4 linked regions of the Drosophila melanogaster genome follow. The protein of the gene in region 1 interacts with the protein of each later gene in a pairwise test. Each region holds a gene or a part of one and is shown on either strand. Other genes may lie near its edges. The genes, in order: CG17826, Vsx2, Dora and Arr1.

Region 1 (5,006 bases):
GTAGCCCAGTTGACGAATGTGTGCCAAAATCAGGAAGATGGCACTAGACTTCCGTTGGCCACCCACTGTTCCCGATTTGTCGTTTGTCTGAAGGGAGAGGTTTCCATTATCGGTAGCTGCCCTCGTGGACTCCATTTCAATCGGGAGCTGAGGGAGTGCGACTTCCAGTGGCGAGCTAATTGCTTGGGACTCTCGGCCTTTGCCGAAGTGGATGATCAGTGTACCTGCGATTGCTGTGCTGAGGAGTGCCAGGATCCCATTGACGATATCGATGAAACTACCACGGCGGTCACCGAGGACTGCGATCCGGATACCACCACTTCAGCCACGGAACCCTCCGATTCCACGGAGCCGACGGATGCTACAACGGATTTCGATGACCCCAACAACTCCTCCAACACCACGCCTTCGAGTCCAAGTGTGGTGCCCTCGTATTGCAAAAGTTCCCGCACGGATTGCGTTAATCAGAAAACTGGCACCTATATAGATATGCCCGGGATCTGCGTGAGGTTCATCCAATGCAACAATGGTTGTGCCGAGGAATTCCAGTGTCCCTCCGGTCTGTACTTCAACACGGCGATAGACGATTGCGATTACTGGTGGAATGTGGACTGTACCCCCACCGCCGATGGCTCCACTGAGATCGAGGGACCATCGGGCACCACCTGCTCCAGTCAGGGCGAATGCGCTGGTAAGAGGGATGGCTACATGATTGCGGACCCCAATTCGAATGGATTCTTCGTCTGCCAATGCCAGTGCCCCATTGCGATGCCCTGTTCCGAGGGTCTGAAGTTCAACGAGACGGCCCAAGTGTGTGATTGGATTAAGGACACTAAATCCGCAATTGGTTCCTCGGCGGTTCAATGTTACGGTGACCTCGTCTACAACGCCACCTTAGACCAGTGCGACTATCCTGAAAACTATGTGCCCAAGGTGGAGTGCAATACCACCAGCACCGTGTGCCAAAACCAGCCGGAGGGAGAACTCTTTCCGGTGGAAGGCAAGTGCAACATGTTCTACAAGTGTAACTTCAACTGCGCCGTCGAGCAATATTGTCCGAACAACTTGGTCTACAACCCAAATACCGAAGAATGTGAATACCCCCAGGACTATGTTTGCCCGTGGGAGTATACCCCACCCTCTGGTCCCAATGCAGGACCTTCGGGAATCGCCTGCGAGAGTAATGGCCGTTGCATGGGACAACGTGAGGGTACCTACTTAAAGTCCACCACAAATTGTAGCAATTACGTCGTCTGCCAGTGTGAATGCGAGGTCGAGATGGAGTGCGCCGATGGCTTGTATTGGGACGAAAGCTTGCAGACCTGCAATTATAAGAACCAAGTGACCTGCACTCTTTAAATGACCGATTGGCAAATAAAGAAAGTGATTATCAAAGCAACTACTACTACTAGGATGTAGCCTAATCTGCCCATTTATTAATGAAACATTGGATCAGTAAATCATTTTAATCAGTTTTGTGGCGGGAATATGCCAACAGGTGTCGGCACTCAATGAGATTGGCAAGAGCTTATCGAACATAAATACCCATTTTTTTTTTTTTAATAAAGAAGGGGTATGTTTCCTGTAGGAATTTGTAGCTGGTCCAACCACTGCTATCACAATATAAAGCTTCAAAATAGTTAGTTCACATAGGTAAGTACCTATCAGTAGTTGTTCTTCTTTATACATATATGCACTATGGCGCATTGAAATTTCAATTTCAATCGATCGTTAAGACTTCTCATATATGAGCATCTTATAGCAACTGAAGAATAATTTCTTTTGGACTCTTTGATTTCGCGGATTCACAATGAACCGCTGAGTTTTATAAATAGTGACAATATCGATTGCTTGTATTACTACTGTATATATATGCTGATAGTATCACGGATGTTTCGACATTATCACCGCCACATGCTCTGATGCAGGAAGAGACATTCAATTATTTTAATTGCCGGTAAATATAAAAGGCGATATCTTCGAGCGAAGATTCATCAGTGAGCATTCGATACGCAGAGTGCAAAGATGGCCCAATCCAGAACTAAACACTATGGTAAGGACGGAGCAATGATAATTGGGAGGATGATTGTTGATCCGCGGTTTTTACCCAGGAGTGGCCCTGTGCCTAATAATTTCCCTCTTTATGGGATCGTCAAGTGCTGTGTGCTGCTCGGAGGGCGACACAAAAGTGGATGCGGATGATTGTACCAAGTATCTGATCTGCTGTCACGGCGAATTTGTATCCAAGTCGTGTGCAAGCGGATCCTATTGGAATTCGGAGTTAAATATCTGTGTCGTGGATGATGGTCAATGCAGACCTCCAACCTGTGTGGATGGAGAAATTACACCGAATCCAGATGACTGTGCCGGCTATTTAGAGTGCGTGGACGGAATCATAGTGATCCTGACCTGTCCAGATGGCGATTACTTCAATTCGACCCTAAATCGGTGCGTTGAAGATACCTGCGGCGTGTGCAACGGAAATGGAACGACATGCACTGATGGCGAACTTAAGGTGGACCCCACCAATTGCGCAGGCTACTTGGCTTGCTCGAACGGTAACTGGGTGAGCAAGCAGTGCGCTGACGGAGCTTACTTCAATGCCATACTGGAGACTTGTGTACAAGACGACGAGGGAATATGCGTCAATTGTAAAGAGGGATCTACAAAACCCTTGGCCGACTGTACCATGTATGAGATCTGTTCCGGTGGCAAGTATGTGACCAAGTCCTGCGACAGTGGTTACTACTGGAACAGCCAATCAGAGGTCTGCGATGTGGATAATGGTCAGTGCAATGGAAATGGAACGACATGCACTGATGGCGAACTTAAGGTGGACCCCACCAATTGCGCAGGCTACTTGGCTTGCTCGAACGGTAACTGGGTGAGCAAGCAGTGCGCCGACGGAGCTTACTTCAATGTCACTCTGGAGACTTGTGTACAAGACGACGAGGGAATATGTGTCAATTGTAAAGAGGGATCTACAAAACCCTTGGCCGACTGTACCATGTATGAGATCTGTTCCGGTGGCAAGTATGTGACCAAGTCCTGCGACAGTGGTTACTACTGGAACAGCCAATCAGAGGTCTGCGATGTGGATAATGGTCAGTGCAATGGAAATGGAACGACATGCACTGATGGCGAACTTAAGGTGGACCCCACCAATTGCGCAGGCTACTTGGCTTGCTCGAACGGTAACTGGGTGAGCAAGCAGTGCGCCGACGGAGCTTACTTCAATGCCACACTGGAGACTTGTGTACAAGACGACGAGGGAATATGTGTCAATTGTAAAGAGGGATCTACAAAACCCTTGGCCGACTGTACCATGTATGAGATCTGTTCCGGTGGCAAGTATGTGACCAAGTCCTGCGACAGTGGTTACTACTGGAACAGCCAATCAGAGGTCTGCGATGTGGATAATGGTCAGTGCAATGGAAATGGAACGACATGCACTGATGGCGAACTTAAGGTGGACCCCACCAATTGCGCAGGCTACTTGGCTTGCTCGAACGGTAACTGGGTGAGCAAGCAGTGCGCCGACGGAGCTTACTTCAATGCCACACTGGAGACTTGTGTACAAGACGACGAGGGAATATGTGTCAATTGTAAAGAGGGATCTACAAAACCCTTGGCCGACTGTACCATGTATGAGATCTGTTCCGGTGGCAAGTATGTGACCAAGTCCTGCGACAGTGGTTACTACTGGAACAGCCAGTCAGAGGTCTGCGATGTGGATAATGGTCAGTGCAACGGAAATGGAACGACATGCACTGAGAATGAGGTTAAGGTGAATCCTGCGGACTGCGCCGGATACCTACAGTGCATAAACGGAGTCTTTGTGGCCAGGAAGTGCTCCGCTACGCAGTTCTTCAATACCACACTGAAGGAATGCGAGGTCGACACAGAGAATGTGTGCATTCCCAAAACCTGCGATCCCGACTGCTGCGATGTGCCCAACAATTCCATCTGGCCCGTGGAGAAAAATTGCTCCGCCTTCTACCAGTGCGTAAATGGTAACAAATATGAGCAGCGGTGCTCCAACAACCTGCAATACAATTCAATAATAGAGCAGTGCGATTATCCCGAAAATGTTCAATGCGACGATGGATCTGCACCGCCAAGTGGTCCGATTGCCGGACCCTCGGGAACTTATTGCGAGAGCCACGGACGATGCGTTGGCCAGCGGGATGGTACCATGTTCGCCGATGCCAGCGGAGATTGTAGTTCTAATTATGTAGTCTGCCAGTGCGAGTGTGAGGTGAACTTCACTTGTTCCTCTGGACTTTTGTTCAATTTGCAGGTCAAATCCTGCGATTGGCCCGATAATGTTAAGTGCTAAGTGGTTTCAATAAACAATATTTAAAGCAGAGTATTAAACGAAAAGATTTTCGTTTTTCTATAGATAAAAACTACTTATTCTAAGCAGAGAATAGAAAATATTCCCCTTATTTTTAGTACTATATGATGTGGCTATATTTTCTCTGTTTAGGCTTTGGACTATTAAAAATTATTATAATTCAAGCACTTTATTGGGGTCTTAAAAAAATATAGTTAGAATCGACGTTTTTTTGACTTGCGCACAGGTTTCTTTGACTTGGATTTGCTTTCATTTAGCTTCGTCTGGCATTTTGCAATTTTGGGATAATCGCATCGTGATGTGGCTATATTGAAATGCAGGCCAGTTGGGCAGTCCATTACCAAAAACATCATGTTGCTGCAGAGCATAAACTTGCCACAATCGCTGCGATGAGCAACAAGAGAGTTTTCCTTTTCATCTGAACACACTCCTCCCGTGGTGGCAGGACCATCTGATTCTTTATTTTCTCGGGTTCCACCCGAACACTTGGCTTCTGAGGCCTTCATGCAAATGCGACGAGTTGGACTAAAATGTTGTTTGTCAGGACAAGAGCGCAGATGGGGCTTTTTTGCTTTGCAGACATAATATTCCTGGCAGGACCCGTTCTTTGTAAGCATCACTCCATCCTTCTTGCCAGCACACATTTTGT
Region 2 (5,390 bases), on another chromosome or scaffold:
AATCGATTTTGGTAAACTCTCGCACTTGAGATCATAATTAAATCATTCGGCGGGCCACGTCAACTACCAGAAATGTGAAGAGCAACTCGAGACGAAATAAGGCACCCGGTATCAAAGTATTCAAAAATATATATATATATATATATATGAATGAATATGAATGAATATATAGCCGGACTTTGGCCAGGTAGTTGGGTTGTCAGTCCTTCGTTGGCACGTCAAAATATTTGCAAAACAAAAGCACACAGGTCCGAGTTCCTGGAAACTCGCAGGACATGCCAGTGGATTTAGTAAAAATAAAAAAGCAGAAATAAAACAAGAAATCGCCAACATTGAACTGTAACCAATGGTTAATGGCCAGGTGAAAACTATATGGTTCTCAGCGAAATAGAGTAAAACTATATCATCAATATCGGATTACCCATAATCATCGGCGAAATTCAATATTTATTTTGACAGGATCCCCCGGCGATTGTAATTGCAAGTTAATTAACAATCAAATTCCAGTAAATAAACGAATTTCGCCTTAAAGAGCTCGCATACCCAATGAATGAATCATAATCATTCCGGGGGCAACCTGCTTAAGAAAATATCGAATTACCCGCGAAATTCTTCTAGCACGCACTCTTCGTTCGCTGCCTTCCTTTCTGCAGCCTGCCCCCGTCTCTCTCTCCCTCGCTCTCTTTCTCTCTCGCACGACCACGTTGCCTCTCTTTCTTTTATTTCCAAATGCCAGACTGCGTGGCCCGACGGATATGTACATACTTACATACATATATGTATATACATATATATGATCTGTGATTCCGTTTCGTTTCGATCCGCTCCGATTTCGCTGCGATGGCCGTGTGAGCGTTGGCATTTCAATTGTCTAATTGCCGCGTGGGTTTCTCCATAGGCAGAGCTCACTGTGTGGGGGCGTGAGAAAAGCCCCAAAAGACCCGTTTGCCTGCCACTGATCGTGGCTTTCCAATTGCTGGTGTCTTTATTTTCTTTAAATAGAAATCAATGCGTGTATATAGAATATAATCGATGCGTAACAAAATATATTTATATATTTTTTTGAGAATTAAATATCAACACGTTTTTTCTATCTGTGTATGGCCTTTTGTAGGAGATCCCTTTCGGGACCGAGTTAATTGTAAGTCCCTCAATTGCCTAGCAGTAATTTGCAAGTCCATTACAAGCTCTACTTTTCGACTGCTGCCGAAATCAAGCCGAATTATTTTGCCGAATTTCGGGACATTTCTCCGAGAACAATAACCCACATAGCACGACCCCAAAATCTCTTGAAATCCTGCAAAACTGCGCAGCAAGGACTCTCCCACTGGCACACACGCACACACTCATGCACACAGGACGTGGTGTAAATGCTAATTTACGCATTTCAATAGTACAAGTTTTTGGCGAAAATTTTAATTAGACTGCCTTTTTTTTGGGGAAGGGAAAGGCATTGTTAGGCGGCCGACAAGTGAGTAGTTTCTACCAGCTGGAAACCGAATGGTGGCTCGTTTTTTGGGCCATAAATTGGCGTCCTTCATTGAACGGAGAGCGGTTGGAGTTCCGAGTTCGAGTTCGGGTCTGCGAAATAGTTGTTTTCTTGCGCCTTTTTTTGCGCCACCCCAGCCCTGTTGACCATGCCCTCTCCCACTCTTGCGCTCTCTGGCTCTCTTTCACTCACACAAAATGGGCGCCGCACACTGTGGCAATCGGGCACCAATACAACGGCAAGCAGCGCACCAACACTAATGCGTTTCGGTCCGAACTGGAAGTTCGCGGGAAAACTGGAAGGTTACGCGTGTGCGAGAAGAGCACGGCTAGATGGTGCTTGGAAGGCGCTTGCTGCTCTCCTCACTCTAACGGCGAATGGATGTCGCACATGCGCCATGTTGCCGAGGGGAAGGCCCATATGCTGCTGACTCCCTCGCACTCGCTGAGCGGCGAAGAGTGCGGCTAGCGTGCGACAGAGACCGCCCCTGAATATTTACCGTTGCCGGGCAGCGCAGTCGACGCGAGCGTCGCTGTCGGCGCGCTGCTTTTGCCGCCGTTGCCGCCGTTACTGCTGTTGCTGCTGCTGTTGGTGTTGCTGCTGCTGCTGCAAATGTTGCTGCTGCGCTTGCCATGCGATTTGAGGTCCTCGGAAGAGCAAAGCTCCGCTGGCCGTTTACCGTTTGTTAGCTGAATGCCTCCTTGGCCAAATCCAAAGCGAAATGCAAAGCCAAGTCGAAAGCCAACCACCAGCAGCAACATAACGGCAGCAACAGCACGACAGCAACAGCAACAGCAAACAGAAACAGCAACTGCGACGACAAAACTCCTGGTGCACATTAACGCAGGCAACAGTTTAACGTGGAAATTATTGCGAATTTGTTGTGTGTTTTTCTGCGACGCGTGCCAGCGCAAAATCTCAAAACCTCCATTCGCAAATCCCATTTCGCGTAGTCTTTACAACATTGCAAAACTTGCCTTTGCTTTGTTTTTTTTTTTGTTTTCTGGGTTTCTCAATTGGGACTGCATGATGTTTTCAAGCGATTTGTTTTGACAACGGCAATATCTAGACGTAAATCGAAATATTAGCAATCGAAAATGCCGCAGCGTTCGCCATTTGCCATTCAGGAGCTGCTGGGCTTGGCGGTGGCGGCGGCCACAGAAGCGCCAACCGATCTGACGACAACTGCCGGTGCAACGGTGGCAAAAGAGCGCCAAACGCCAACGCCGCCAAAGACAACAAATGCCACAATGGCAACAGCAGCAACATCAGCAGCTACGGCAGCAACACCAACAAATGCGGCCGAAGGCAATTTAACGAGCGTTTCGGAGCCACAGCAGCAGCCGCAGCAGCAGCAACAAGAGCAGCAGCACCACCAGCCGCACCACCATCAGTACAGGGAGCACCACCAAATGACCATGGCGGCCGCCTCGCGAATGGCCTACTTCAATGCCCATGCGGCGGTGGCAGCGGCCTTTATGCCCCACCAACTGGCCGCGGCGGTGCACCATCATCATCAGCATCAGCACCAGCACCATCCACACCACCACCCGCACCACCCACACGGAGCCGTTGGCGGGCCACCGCCGCCGCCGCCGATGCAGCACCACCACCCCCACCATCCGCACCACCCGCTGCTGCACGCGCAGGGTAAGCCAATGTCCCCGCCAGCGAACCACTCAAATTGCAGTTAATTGCAGTTAGTAAAACACAGATATATATATTTTTTTCATTTATGCATATACTGAACATGGGAAAGTTGAAAAGTGCCGTAGCTAACTTACATATATTTCGCTATAGCGATTTTAAAAATCTTTTGTTCGATGTATTTACACTGACAATCAAAGCTTAAACGCAATTAGCAATCGCAACTGGTTTTGTCACCTGCCAGACACACCAACACAGGCGCACATATACACATGCTCAGATACATTTACAGATTCAGATTCAGATACAGATACATTCGATTCACACGCACACGCACACACAGTGGGGCGAATCGGTGTCTGGAGTGCCGCTTAGTTAGCATAAAAAAGGAATTAATCAGCGGTCCATCGTCCGCCAAATCAGCTTTGGCCCCACTGCAAACGACACAACGCCCGCATCCGCACCACCGCTCCACCGATCCGGCAATCCGGCAATCCGCCTCCGAAGCCACTCCAATCCAAAGCACCACCACTCAAGTTGAGCTGCTAATTGCACTGTGTGTGGATGTGTGTGTGTGAGTGTTTGTGTGTGTGTTGCACTCTGGTTTGAGCATAGCAAAAACTGGGCTTCACAATTGTTGCAATAGTTTGGGCACACTAACGACAATAGTTAGTTTTCATATTGTTTAAATAAAATTCTAGAATCAGTGGAAATCCGAATCAATTTATAATAAGCTTGGTATGCTTTTCGAGTAGGTTTTTGGTCGCTTTTGTGCCACTGTAGGTGCGCCTTTGTTTGGCGATCAGCACAGGCAATGAAACACGCACACTGCAAGAAAATCCCACACACTAACAGTGAACTCGAGTCGACCTGCTGTCTCTCTCGATTCAAAGCTCATTTGCAAGTGGCAATATCATACGAAGTTGGAGCGATGACAGTGAAGGCAGATAAACAGAAAGGCATGAAAAGCCGTGCAGGGATTGGATACACGGTAAAAAACTAGGAACTAGTTGCTGGCTGCCAGAAGTAAGCAGTTGATTAACAACATAAGCACTTCAAATTGTTATATTTCTCATTGGATTTGTGAACTATATCTGGAATGGCATTAATAACAAAATCCTGAAGCGTTTAGCCAAATTTCTTTCACTGTGAAAAGTGCGAGGCTCTGCAGATAATCTTGCAGATTCAAGTGGCAGCTGTTATTATTGTTATTATTATTTTAATTAGCGTTGAAATATCATCATCGTCATCACCGATTTCCATTGCTCTGCAACTGATTCACTGTGCCAATTTCACTGCGCACTCACTCAACTTATGTGGATATGTAGATACATATATGAGTAGATTGAATCTGATTTCTTGATTTCAAATCTGTTTACCCCTACACTTCCGGACCCTTTTTTTTGGGGTCTTATTATTATTATTTTTTTTTTTATTGATTTCGCATGTTGTGCGGCTTTCTTTTTGGCTCGATGTTTATGCGTTATTTTAATTACAATACTCCTATCCGTTTATCGCCCATTTCCACAGTTTCGTCGTAATTTGCGTTTAATAAATGTGGGAAAGAGCACTGCTCTTAGCTGCTAAATAGTTATGGGTAGTATGGGCTAGCAGACTGGGATTACAATTTAAACTATGACCAATTAGTTAAGGTTTTATAAATAGTGGTAATGTATGTAGTATGTAATAGTTGTGCTCATTAGTTTTGGTGCAATAAACAGGGCGAGTTGCTCTGCGATGATGAGAGAGAGTGGGTTGCCTCCGCTAAAAGCATATATTCTAGGGTATGTAATAGTCGTGCTCATAAATAGAGATAGAGAAAGTGGTCTGCCTGTGGTAAAAGCTTATAAATTAGGAAAGGCTTATATGTTTTAGGGTATGCAGTAGTCGTGCTTATTAGTTCACTCCCCATTTTCTTCTGTTCTGTTTAGCCGTGCTTTCTGCTTTTCATTCGCGTCATCCTATTTAATTTTGCATATTTTCAACTCGCTTCGTTGTCGTACGAATATTTCGGGTATCCGTTGTTGATTTTATACCCATTTGCGTGGCCAGCTCGTCAATTAAAAAATCGCATCAGGTTTGGTCGAATCGCGAGCGAATTTCTGGCCGGATTTCGGACGGATTTCCTGTCCAGAGCTGAGTACTTGGCGCCCTCCATTAAGTGCCTTTGATCTTTTACCAGAAGGGAAAACCCAAATCGGAAAATTGGTTGCCCAACGACAATAAGAAAAGCGCTTTTTCTTCGCACACCACA
Region 3 (4,992 bases), on another chromosome or scaffold:
ACACACAAACCCAGTCGCAGGGCTAGCTCTTTGGCTATTTTCCCGCCAAAATCGAATAGCTTAAGCTACTATCTATTGGTCCTTTAGGTTTACAAACCAACAGCATATGAACAAATAGATATTTGGCTAACTCCTCTGTTTATAGGAAGTAAAAGATTTGTATAACATAACAGAAAGATAAAAATGATTAAGATTGAGCAAAGTTCAGCTAGTTTTGCCTAGTACATATACTATATTTTGTAATACTAGTGCTTAGTATCAATAAATATCAATAAAATCAACAAGCTGGTAACCCTGGCTATCAAAGAATCCACAAAGAAGACAACTGAATGGTTGGAGGTTCTTTGGCGGCTTTGCCGCTCTGTTTAGTCCTTTGACCCTTCCAAATATAGTCCTGTTTCCCCCCACAGCAACACTGCTCAGTCAAACAAAGGAAAATAAGCAAACGAATGCAGTGGATGGGCAAATGACGAAGACGAATGGAGGATACGAAAGAGAAACAGCGACGAGGACGAACTGCGCAGTCGCAGCCAGATATCCAGATATTACATGATGATAGTGCTGTGCGGCGGCGCACAGGATACAGAAAACGTGTAAGGAACGTCTCTTGGCAGGCCCGAAACAAAAAAAAAAAACAATACCCCAGCCACATGCACAAGCGTAATGAGCCACAGGGAAAGACAAAGGGACGCAACAAAAAGGTAAAAAGGAAACTCGTATAAACGAATGAAAATAAAAAACGTTGGCAGCCAAAGTCGTGATTTTGACTTCAGCGATAAGCAGAGGACTTCGAGGAAATGCGGGGAAACGAAGAAGACAATTGCAGACAGAGGGCAACAACAATTACAGCCTGCTCGTTGTTGTGCCTAAGTCAATTTTACAGAATTTACCAAAAGCGAAAAGGTCATGCGTATAATTACAGGCAGCACAGTGTAGCCATATTGCAAATAGCCAAATGCGACCAAGCTAGTAAAACATAGAACTAAAGCATATCACTCTACTTAGCTTAAAAAGTAAATTGTGTAGCAAGTAATTGATTATTTAACGCTATACGGATATAAATCTGTATAAAATGTACATGTAAGTTTCTCATTGTAAAGGGAAAGTTATAGGTATAAACTATTTTGGTTGCCTTATGGTTTTAAAAACAATTAAGGAAGTCAATATCTTTTGTATGCGACATATGAAAGCTTCTTATGAGAAAGTCTTTCTTAATTCCTGAATAAAAGAGGATACTTTTTTGATATCTTTAGGACGCACACTTTTCGAACTCTAAAAACTGTCAATGTTGTACAATGTTTTTCGGATTTTAAGAAGCTCTCTTCAGTTTAGATTTGTATCTGTGATTTTCACAACTGTAGTTTCACTGGTGTAATGCTCAATGGTCCGGGTACACTGCCCTAAATCCCGCCCTAGCAACAAGGAGATGCTACTCACCATAATGTCTGCCGCAGGTGGATGTGTTGGCCATGGCCGTTCCATTGCCGCCCGGTGTGCAGGAACCAGAGGCTCCTGCTCCTCCGAACGGCGGTGCTCCTGAGCCGCCGGCCACAGCCATACCGCCCATGCCGCTCAAGCCGCCATTGCCTGCGCCGCTGCCTGCAGCGGGCTTCTTCCAGCCGCGCCAGTTGTTGCACAGCGATTCCGGTTCAGAGCTCCAGCTGCAGAGGGAGTCTTCCTCGAAGCGGATGGAGTCGTCGAAGCTGAAGCGGTCCATTTCCTCCGGATTCCATTCGTTGGCCGCTGCTCCTGCAGCGTCTCTGCCCGCCGCTCCGGCTCCTGCGCCGCCTCCTGCTGCTCCTTCGGCGCCAGCGCCGACTGCAGCCGCTCCTCCGCCTCCTCCATTGTTGTTGTTGTTACCGCCGCCTCCTCCTCCTCTGTTGTTGTTGCCGCCGTTGCGATTCGCCAGCGTGAGGCTGAGATTGTGTGTGTTTACAGTTGCTCCTTCTACTGCTGAAGCTGATTCTTGTTCTTCTTCTTCAGCTGCTCCCCCGTTTGTTTGTTTTCCTCAGCTTCCTCTTCCTCCGTCTCTCTCACTGTTACTCTCCTCTCTTTTTGGATGGATGTATATGTATAATGGATCTCTGCCAAACGCTCAATTTAAAATCGTGTAAAAGGCGAATTTCTCTTGAGCGTTCTTCTCTTCCTCTTTTCTCTCTCGCTGTGTTCCTCTCCTTCGGTTCTCCCCTTTCAAACTCAAGCACACTGCCGGACTCGCTTGCTTTTAATTAACTTATTAACTGTAGATTTATGCTTAGGGCTCTAAGTTTCCCTTTTAGACTTAACTTTAGGTTTAGATTTAGATTTTGGGGAGTTTAAAAACTATTTTTGTTTATATGTACAAAATACGTTCAGTGCGCCGCGGTCTCTGTCGCTGCCTCTGCCCGCGTCGACTGCGACTGCTATTGTTTGTTGTCGTTGTTGTTGCATGTGAACTTTTTCGTATCCCCCAACGAACGAGAGAGCGAGATGGGGCTATGCTATGCGACTGCCGAAATAAGAGGGCCAATTTGTAGTTGTAGTTCTTGTTGTTGATGTTCTTGCTTCTGTTATTATTGTTGATGTGGTTCTTGCTGTTGTTGTTGATTTTGCAGGGGACCCCCAGTCGTTGTTATTGTTGTTAACGCTCCTCTTTTATCCGCTCTGCGCTTTGCAGTCCGCTTTGCCGTTAATTATTTTTTCACTCCTTCGCTTTGTGGCTCATCTTCGCTTTATCCTGCGCGCACCGCACTCACTCTTTCTCGCTCGCCCTCACTCACTCACACAGCAGTAGCAGCAGCAACAACAACGTTGCACACAACATCAATATATTGGATATATATCAACACTTTTTCGCCTGCGTGCTTGTCAGTGTGTGTGTGCATGCGTGCGCTTGTCGATTTTCACTGCCTTCTTTTCTTTGTGTGTGTATATGCGCTGCGCGTTGTGTTTGTCTGCGTCTGTGCGTGTGTTAGGTTTACGTGTGTGTGTGAGTGAACGAACGAAATGCGTTTAGCGAACGTTTTTTTAAAAAATCCTTAAATTTTTTGTGGATTTTGGCGATTACCGACACTTAAAACGGCACTGCACACGCGTCCCCGAAAACAACGGCACCTAGATTCGCTGGCCGAGTTACGATTTGTTTGATGCTACGCACGGTTTTCGGACACTTTTACACGGGGCTTTGTTTTTACCCATCGCATCGTCGACTCTTTTGCTCCTAAACGTTGTTGGTGTTAGTGGTCAGCGATAGTGCTCACACACTCGATATGGGTTTTCGATCATTTTCGGCTGAATATTCGATAAGGTCAATAGTATCGGTTTTCCGCGTACGATTTCCCAGTTTTCAAATGACGGTCACACTGACATTCATTCTTGACAATCGATAGTTTTTGTCGAGTGACGCTCTTAATATCGAAAAACCATAAGTAACGATAGGCCCATTTTGTTGGTGGTGTTCACAATCTTCTCGCGCTTTCCCAGGAACTGGTCAAGATGCCCATCGCCGGGCTGTGCATCGAACTGCGCCCGAACCTACGCAGCGGCGTGGTCTTCCTGCGATTCGACCAACAGGTTTCGCAGAGCCAGAAGACTCGCGTCGTCGTCCGCGACTACAATGTTTATATCAGCGAGAAACCTAAGAATCAGGCAATCGACTTGGATTCCAGCTCCGAAAGCGACAGCGAGGACTCCGACAAGCTGATGCTCATCCGGCACGCGCAGTATGGTATGGACATTGTCTGCCTGTCCACGTTCTTGGTCAGTGGCAGGAACATCAGTTTCCGCTTCAACTACAACCAGATTGATCTGGCCAGCGTGGATGGAAGCGCTGTGGACGTGCCTCTGGCGCCACTACTCCTCTCCTGCCAGGAGAACGAGCCCATCACTATCAACTGTCGTGATTGCCGAGCGGAATTGGTGGCAGGCCGAAGCTATCGCAGGTTGAGGGAGTTTCCCAGCCTCTTGGTGGATCCCACTGAGTTCTTTTGCCACAATCATGGACCAGCGGGCAAGACCCAACCAATTAGCTTAGTGCCCGCCGAAACGGATCTTTTCTATGGCCTCAACTATGTGGTCATCAACTTTAACGAAGAAAGTTCGTGCATGCTCAATCGCGACGATCACTTGTACTGCCAGCGCTGCATGCGTTATTTGGGGCTGACCATGTTCGATGGCGCCGCCGCTCGCATCTGGGCTGATGCAGTACGTTGGCGTCCCGCAGGAGCGGCGACAAATGCCCCCGATCGCCACTTCTTCCAAAACTCCACGCTAACGCAGCTTTTCAAGCGTCTGCTGCACTCGCTGTGGCCTCAACCGTTGCCTCAGCTCTGTTTGAACACCAGTCGTGCGGTGCTGGTCACCTCGCTGCCCAACCGAAATCAGCAATACATGTTTTTGCACGTGGTGGAGTCACAGCTGCGTGTGCTGCGTCGCATTCGCCCAAATTCGAACCGACTACGCTGCTTTCGCGCCTGCAAGCTGTACTACGGCGTTTTTGGAGCCAATCCGCCGCTGCTGGAGAAGTGGCAGGCGCAGCAGACGCTGCCCCAAATGGATGTATCACCGAACATGTTCCTAAAGATTCAGAAGCGCCTCGAGACGAATGGCCACTTGATTCCGGACGCCTTGAGCACGAACTGTGCGGAGGAGCACCTGCAGTTGTCGTACTTCTTTTATGAGAACGAGGATCAACACGACGGCGGGGTCGTCGCTTCGGATGTGTTTACGGATCAAATGAGCAACGTGTATCAGAAGGAGGTGGATCCGTACGAGACGGATGCAGGACATGCCAGCGAGAGCGATGACGAGTACTCGGATACGGACACCGCTTCGGGGGACACGGCGGCTTACTCGCTCGGCATGCGTACCCTGCAGAAACGCAGCCCCACTCCGCCGCGGTCTTTCGCCAAAATGGCCACCTCCGCCTCGCCGGAGGACAAGTAGTGACCCAATCCGATTCAAAAATCAAGCATAGCTTGTATGTCGGAAACTATGTTACTTGTTTTCACTATA
Region 4 (5,501 bases), on another chromosome or scaffold:
GAAAACTTCTTTTAGACCAAATTGTTTTTTAATAACTGCTTATTTCCTACCAATGAAGGTAAATGTGGGGCGGTAATTAAATCCGTTTGCTTGCCGCCAGAGAGCTCCTCTTCCCAGAACCAAGTTCTTCTGGGGTTAAAGGTAACTGTGCCATTGTCGTGCCACTCAAGATCCATCTTCTTCCTCTCCTCTCGATAAACATAGGGTCCAAGTTGCGCGAAAATAGGTTTTACTCCATTAGCCTGCACATCTGCGGCATTTGTCCAGTTCCAAAGATACATGTAGACATACACCGGAATGGGCAGCTCCTCCCATTTTTCAAAAGTCTTTGAAGTGGGTGTCAACGGCAAGGCCTTTTTAATAAATCGATTAGTACTCCTCCTTAATTTTATTTTTATACACCGCCTCTCACCTTCATAATCCCTGAGTCTATAAAGCCAGGCCAGCATATTATGGCCAGGAGTCCGGAGACCGCGAAAAAGGTTCCCAGGCCGAAGACCCAGGCCTTTTGTTGGGTCACCCCACAGCAGCTGCAGCACATATTGAGAGACGAAACAAAGGCTTTCGAGCGACTGCAAAGTGGAAAAATATCGCTCGAGTTTTTATTCATGCGTCGCTTAGTAGATTATCCACTAGTAAATAAAGCAGCGGCTAATCATCATGTCTACTGTGGTAATCAGCTCGGTTTGGTTTGCTCAACTTATTCTGTGGGGTGATTGGGATCTAAGTGTGTGTTTAGAGTACCAAAAATCCTGATAAATGCAAAACGCTGCACTTAGTTTATTGAGAGTGCTGGCTAATCAGCCAGACTAGCAGTAGTAGCTATTTCATGCTGCCACGTACCAAATACCACTTGGTAACTAAATCAAATTTAACGATACATGGTACAATTTTATTTATAATAGTATATAAAAGTAATTAGGTACATTTTTATTTTAGGAATTAAGTTTCGTTTATCAGTTCTTAAGTTTTTAATAGCATGCCAGAGTGCTTCCTAATTCGCATTATAAATTAACTTGAAGCTAGTTGATTAAACTATTAATACGGTCAACTATTTTTGCCTTGACGCTCGCCCATCTTATCGGTTATATAGCATGTATGCTTAAATTAGTATTTGCAATGCAATTTTTATGGTCAGCCACTATAAAAGATCACTTCCAAAGACGGCAATCTAATCTTCCTTAATGAAATTCGATTAATCCCATTACGCAAAACCATTTTAAACTCATTACCCACCTGGTCTGCCGAAATGTTGGCAGCGTGATTGATCAGTATTTCAACCCTGACTATTGGAAAATTTTGATTAGAGTGGCGTTATCGTTAATATTGGGTGCTTATTAAAAGTGGGACTGCAAACATTCACAAATTAAATGGATGCGTTTGAAGTGTGTTCGCTTAAATTTTACGATTTCAAAGTCCAGCAAGAAGCTCACCATATTATATCAATTATTGTCCATTTTCCTTACTCGAATTCAGTTCAGTAAACTTCCTCCAGCATAGTGGCCAAGTATTAATTAGGCTGCTCCTCGGCTTTTCAGAGTAGCAATAATTGGAATTACTAAGCCACAAATGCAAGACCCACTATTAGTAATTGAATAGATTGCACTGGCTTCTGTTGATTTCCCCATTGCACTTCAATGTACATAATCAGCAGACATTGCAAGATATCAAATACTACGAAATGCCTTCGTAAGCACATTATTAAATATTTAGTGCGCATTCCATACAAACTTTCAATGCTGGAGCCTTTTCAAATACACCGTGCTAAATTCAATAGAATACTCCAAAATACATACATAAACTCTGTTCATATTTAATTGTTAGTTGAGTTATAAATATAATACACATACACACATACAATATATGGATATTGGATTTGCTATATAGGAAAAGTACGACGACTGCAGTTCAGAACATTTCAGCAACATCAGCATTTTTTAGGATCTACAAAAATCGGTTTGACTTGTAGAAATACGCCATTTTTTTCGTTGGTTGAGGTAGCCCTTTCAGTTTAGGCCTCAATGGAGCCCTCGGCTTCCAGTTGGGCCTTGCGACTTGGCTGTAAATAATTGATTGCCTTTCAATAACTATTCAAATATTTGGGCACACCTTTTATTACCTTCGGGTGCATCAGAATAAATGGTAGCTCAGCGCAGAGCTCGCCGCCCAGGGCTCCCAAGAAAAGCTTGACCTTCACAGCATATGAAACAATTATGCCAAAGGCATCCCTCGCATCCTGACTGGCAATACTGAAATAGAATTTTAAATATGCATTTTTCACTTAGTATTAGTATGCGTTTTATGCCATTTTGTAAACACATTTAGCTAAAGAACTGTTAGTCACCGGGAAAATACGATTTTTAAAAAGGTTCCTAACTTTAAAATTTGATTGATTTTATGGTATGATTTTAAGTTGATACTTAATAGAGTATAATATTAATGTTTCATCTGCTAAGCTATGATGTGAATAAATTTTACTCACAGTGTGGTCGAGGCCAGAGCTGTGTCTTTGCGCTTGATATCACCCTCAACGGCGATGCCTGCGCGGTCGCAATTGGCCACCAGGGTGGGCACCAGATACATGACCTTCTGCAGGCTGGATCCCGGGTTCAGGGGACATCCCTCGCTCGTCTCCATGAAGGCGATCGTGTTGCGGAACTGACCGTTCTGGAACAGGACCACATCGACGCCCTGCTGCACCATGGCCTTGATCTTCTTCACCACCTTGTTGGAGTTGTTGCGCACGCAGATGTTCACCGAGATCTTCTCGCCGTGATGGTACAGCTGCTTGTCGAGGGTGACCTCCAGTTCGAGCTCTCCGGGCGACAGAAGGAAGTCCTTGCGAACGACGGTGCAGGGCTGGATGCCCTGCTTGGTCGGTGCGTACTGCACCTTGCGGATGCCCAGGTTAATGGTGCTCCTGCGATGCGATCGATCGCAGTCGCTGTCTCCGGTAAAGATCTTTACGAAGTACTGGACTCCGCAGGGCTGGCTCTCGTCACTGGCCTTCTGCTGGAGAACCACCGAGGCCGGCGAGCTTGGTGGCATCTGCATCACGAAGGGATAGGCATTGGAGCCAAGCTTCTTCAGCAGACGCTCCTGCATCTTGGTCAACTGGATGTCCTGCTTCTGGGGTGGGCACACCTGCTGCGAGACCAGGGTCAGTTCCTTCTGGAACCGCAGACCGATCATCTCGTCGTCCTCGCGCCCATATCGGAAATTGCAGACCAACTGCACGAAGATCTTGCGGTTCTGGCGCACGTACTCATCGTCCAGCACAATGATTCCATCTGCAAGAGGACGCTTATTAATTGGAGAATATTATTTACAAGCGCCCAGCCTCTTGGTTTGCTTGCTCGCGTAATCGATGAACTTGGTTAGCTGCTAGCGCAGCCAATTTAACTTAACTCCCTGGGCTATTGAATTCAGATGCAATTTTGAATAACTCCCTGAGTTTATATTTGCTGGTCGGCATATGCAGATTCGAAATGGAGTTTTTATAATATAATTTTGATTTGATATCACTTTTCAAGGAAGGTATTAAAAATTCCAATGTGTTAAGTTGAAACAAAAGTTACACTGAAGTTATTTTCAAACTATAAGATACTTCAATCGAATATGGGTACCAATTCCTACACGAATTTATTTTTTGATGGATTTCCTCATTCGTAAATCCCATTGCTCAAGGGTTTCGGTCTGTGACACCTACCAATGGGTTCCACCTGAGTCACGGAATCTACAAAATCACGCCTGTTCATGTAGAGCGTGATCATGTTGTTCGGGGAACACTTCTTGAACACCTTGAAATTGACCACCATTTTGGAGCTGTTTATCAAAATCTCTGCGGAAATAGTTTAAACTTTGGATGTGCCTTTAACGTTTCGCGCTCGTTCTCGATGGTATACGCCGCGTTGCGTGGTCCACTAGGCTATTAATTAGCGCTCTTTGGCAATCCGGCATTTATACCTGGCATTGTGGCACCTGTCGCCCCTCTAAATTCAATTAGCCGCACAGCAGAAATTCAGCAATTGCACGGCGGTAAACTACTACGGCTTCGGCAACCTTGCTGTGCGCAGTGTCTTTGATATTGACATTGCAGCACGACATCGACATCGATGGCTCAAACATTAAATAACGCGCGAGCAACACGGCGTATTAGCAATGCAGGACAGGTGAATGTACAGAAATAGCTCGAGAAATCGATTTAGTATGCGTATTTTGGTTTGTTGTTTTCCGCCTAGGATGACGTATTTAAACCCAAACATTACGTGGTGGGTTTTGTTCTTTTCCATTTACGTAATTGTTGTTAATTTAATTGAGCCCTAAGCACTCGTCGGCTAAGTACTGATAAGCGGTTGTTTATTATGACATTTATAATAGCTTTATGTTAACTGGAGACAACTACTAGTTATAACAACGAGGTACTTAATAAATTCCAAGTATTCCAAGTATTTGCTTCGGAATTTTCAAAATAATTGGTGAAGGATCCCATTTCAAGCTAGATGTAATAATATTCTTCTTTGAATTATATTAAACATTTAAATCAATTTTTCCCAACGAATCTAGACGTTATGTGTATATATATAATGACACATAAGAACTTAAGCTTTACCAGTAACTGTCAGTTGAAGGACCTGCACATTCAATTATGTAAAAATATTCTATGCAAAGCTGCTGGCCCTCTCACCATTTGCCATTTCCATTTTGTGCTATGAAATCACATTAGCATAAAGTAGGCTACTTAACAAAGTCAATGAACGTAATAATTATACTCCTGACATTAAAAATATGAACAAAGTTGTGTGAAATATATTGTTCTTTATTGTGTGGTTGGGGACCGGACAGTCGAGCAAGTGGGGCGGAGTTTTCCACCAACTACATCCCCCCTTTTCGTGTGTGAAAATGTGGCGGGAAAGTGCGGGAAAGTGTCGGCGGACAGTCGCCAAGGGTCCAACAAAACCGACAATGAGGCCCTTAATAATAGCAAAACTTTTGCACTCACGACGTGTGGGCCAGTAGGAAAACGGCGCTGGTTATGGGCATGTCTCTCATTTAAATACATTACAAGTGAACTTTCCGGGAGGCATGGCCACGGTGTTGTCCTGAAAAATGGCAATATGTTACTAAATGAGGTGTTCTTAAGATTCTGTTAGAAAAGCGTTCAGAGTTTTTACATTCAATCCGTCTATAGGTCTAAACTCATATCAGAAATATGAGCACTTGTCTTAAAAGAGGACATTTTTTCTAGAAATACAATGCAAAGCTATATTATTGAGTGCATGGCTGACCTTCTAAGGACTTCTTTAAAGTGCAACGCGTTTAAAGCAAAAACTATTTAAGCTTTGTTTTTATCACACGGATACTTTGAAAACCCATCACCATCTCAAATTCATATGTGGTCTGTTGAACCATCCTTTATATGGCAGATTATAGCAATACAATAAAATTGCAAACGACCACAAAAGGTTGACTTTATTATTTGTGCGCAATTGAGCTAGCTG

Evidence for each region.
Region 2: the proteins of CG17826 (region 1) and Vsx2 interact in a two-hybrid assay, tested with the Drosophila melanogaster proteins (one large-scale study listed by BioGRID).
Region 3: the proteins of CG17826 (region 1) and Dora interact in a two-hybrid assay, tested with the Drosophila melanogaster proteins (one large-scale study listed by BioGRID).
Region 4: the proteins of CG17826 (region 1) and Arr1 interact in a two-hybrid assay, tested with the Drosophila melanogaster proteins (one large-scale study listed by BioGRID).

Annotation. Positions count from the first base shown.
Region 1 is NT_037436.4:11,947,848-11,952,853, forward strand, and holds CG17826 (uncharacterized protein), read left to right. Parts: upstream 1-1,991; 5' UTR 1,992-2,025; coding exon 2,026-2,053; intron 2,054-2,111; coding exon 2,112-4,339; 3' UTR 4,340-4,378; downstream 4,379-5,006. Other genes in the region: CG7252 (uncharacterized protein), read left to right, coding at 1-1,359; obst-G (obstructor-G), read right to left, coding at 4,552-5,006.
Region 2 is NC_004354.4:5,557,159-5,562,548, reverse strand, and holds the start of Vsx2 (visual system homeobox 2), read left to right. Parts: upstream 1-2,365; 5' UTR 2,366-2,586; coding exon 2,587-3,139; intron 3,140-5,390.
Region 3 is NC_004354.4:18,862,165-18,867,156, reverse strand, and holds the start of Dora (dorado), read right to left. Parts: upstream 3,208-4,992; 5' UTR 1,718-3,207; coding exon 1,438-1,717; intron 1-1,437. Other genes in the region: CG7326 (uncharacterized protein), read left to right, coding at 3,475-4,923. UniProt on the Drosophila melanogaster protein: Substrate recognition component of a SCF-like E3 ubiquitin-protein ligase complex that promotes target-directed microRNA degradation (TDMD), a process that mediates degradation of microRNAs (miRNAs).
Region 4 is NT_033779.5:18,076,705-18,082,205, reverse strand, and holds Arr1 (arrestin 1), read right to left. Parts: upstream 3,938-5,501; 5' UTR 3,819-3,937; coding exon 3,710-3,818; intron 3,558-3,709; exon of another isoform or gene 3,476-3,557; coding exon of another isoform or gene 3,409-3,475; intron 3,291-3,408; coding exon 2,483-3,290; intron 2,250-2,482; coding exon 2,120-2,249; intron 2,060-2,119; coding exon 2,012-2,059; 3' UTR 899-2,011; downstream 1-898. Other genes in the region: ninaD (neither inactivation nor afterpotential D), read right to left, coding at 51-353, 413-541. UniProt on the Drosophila melanogaster protein: Regulates photoreceptor cell deactivation. Arr1 and Arr2 proteins are mediators of rhodopsin inactivation and are essential for the termination of the phototransduction cascade.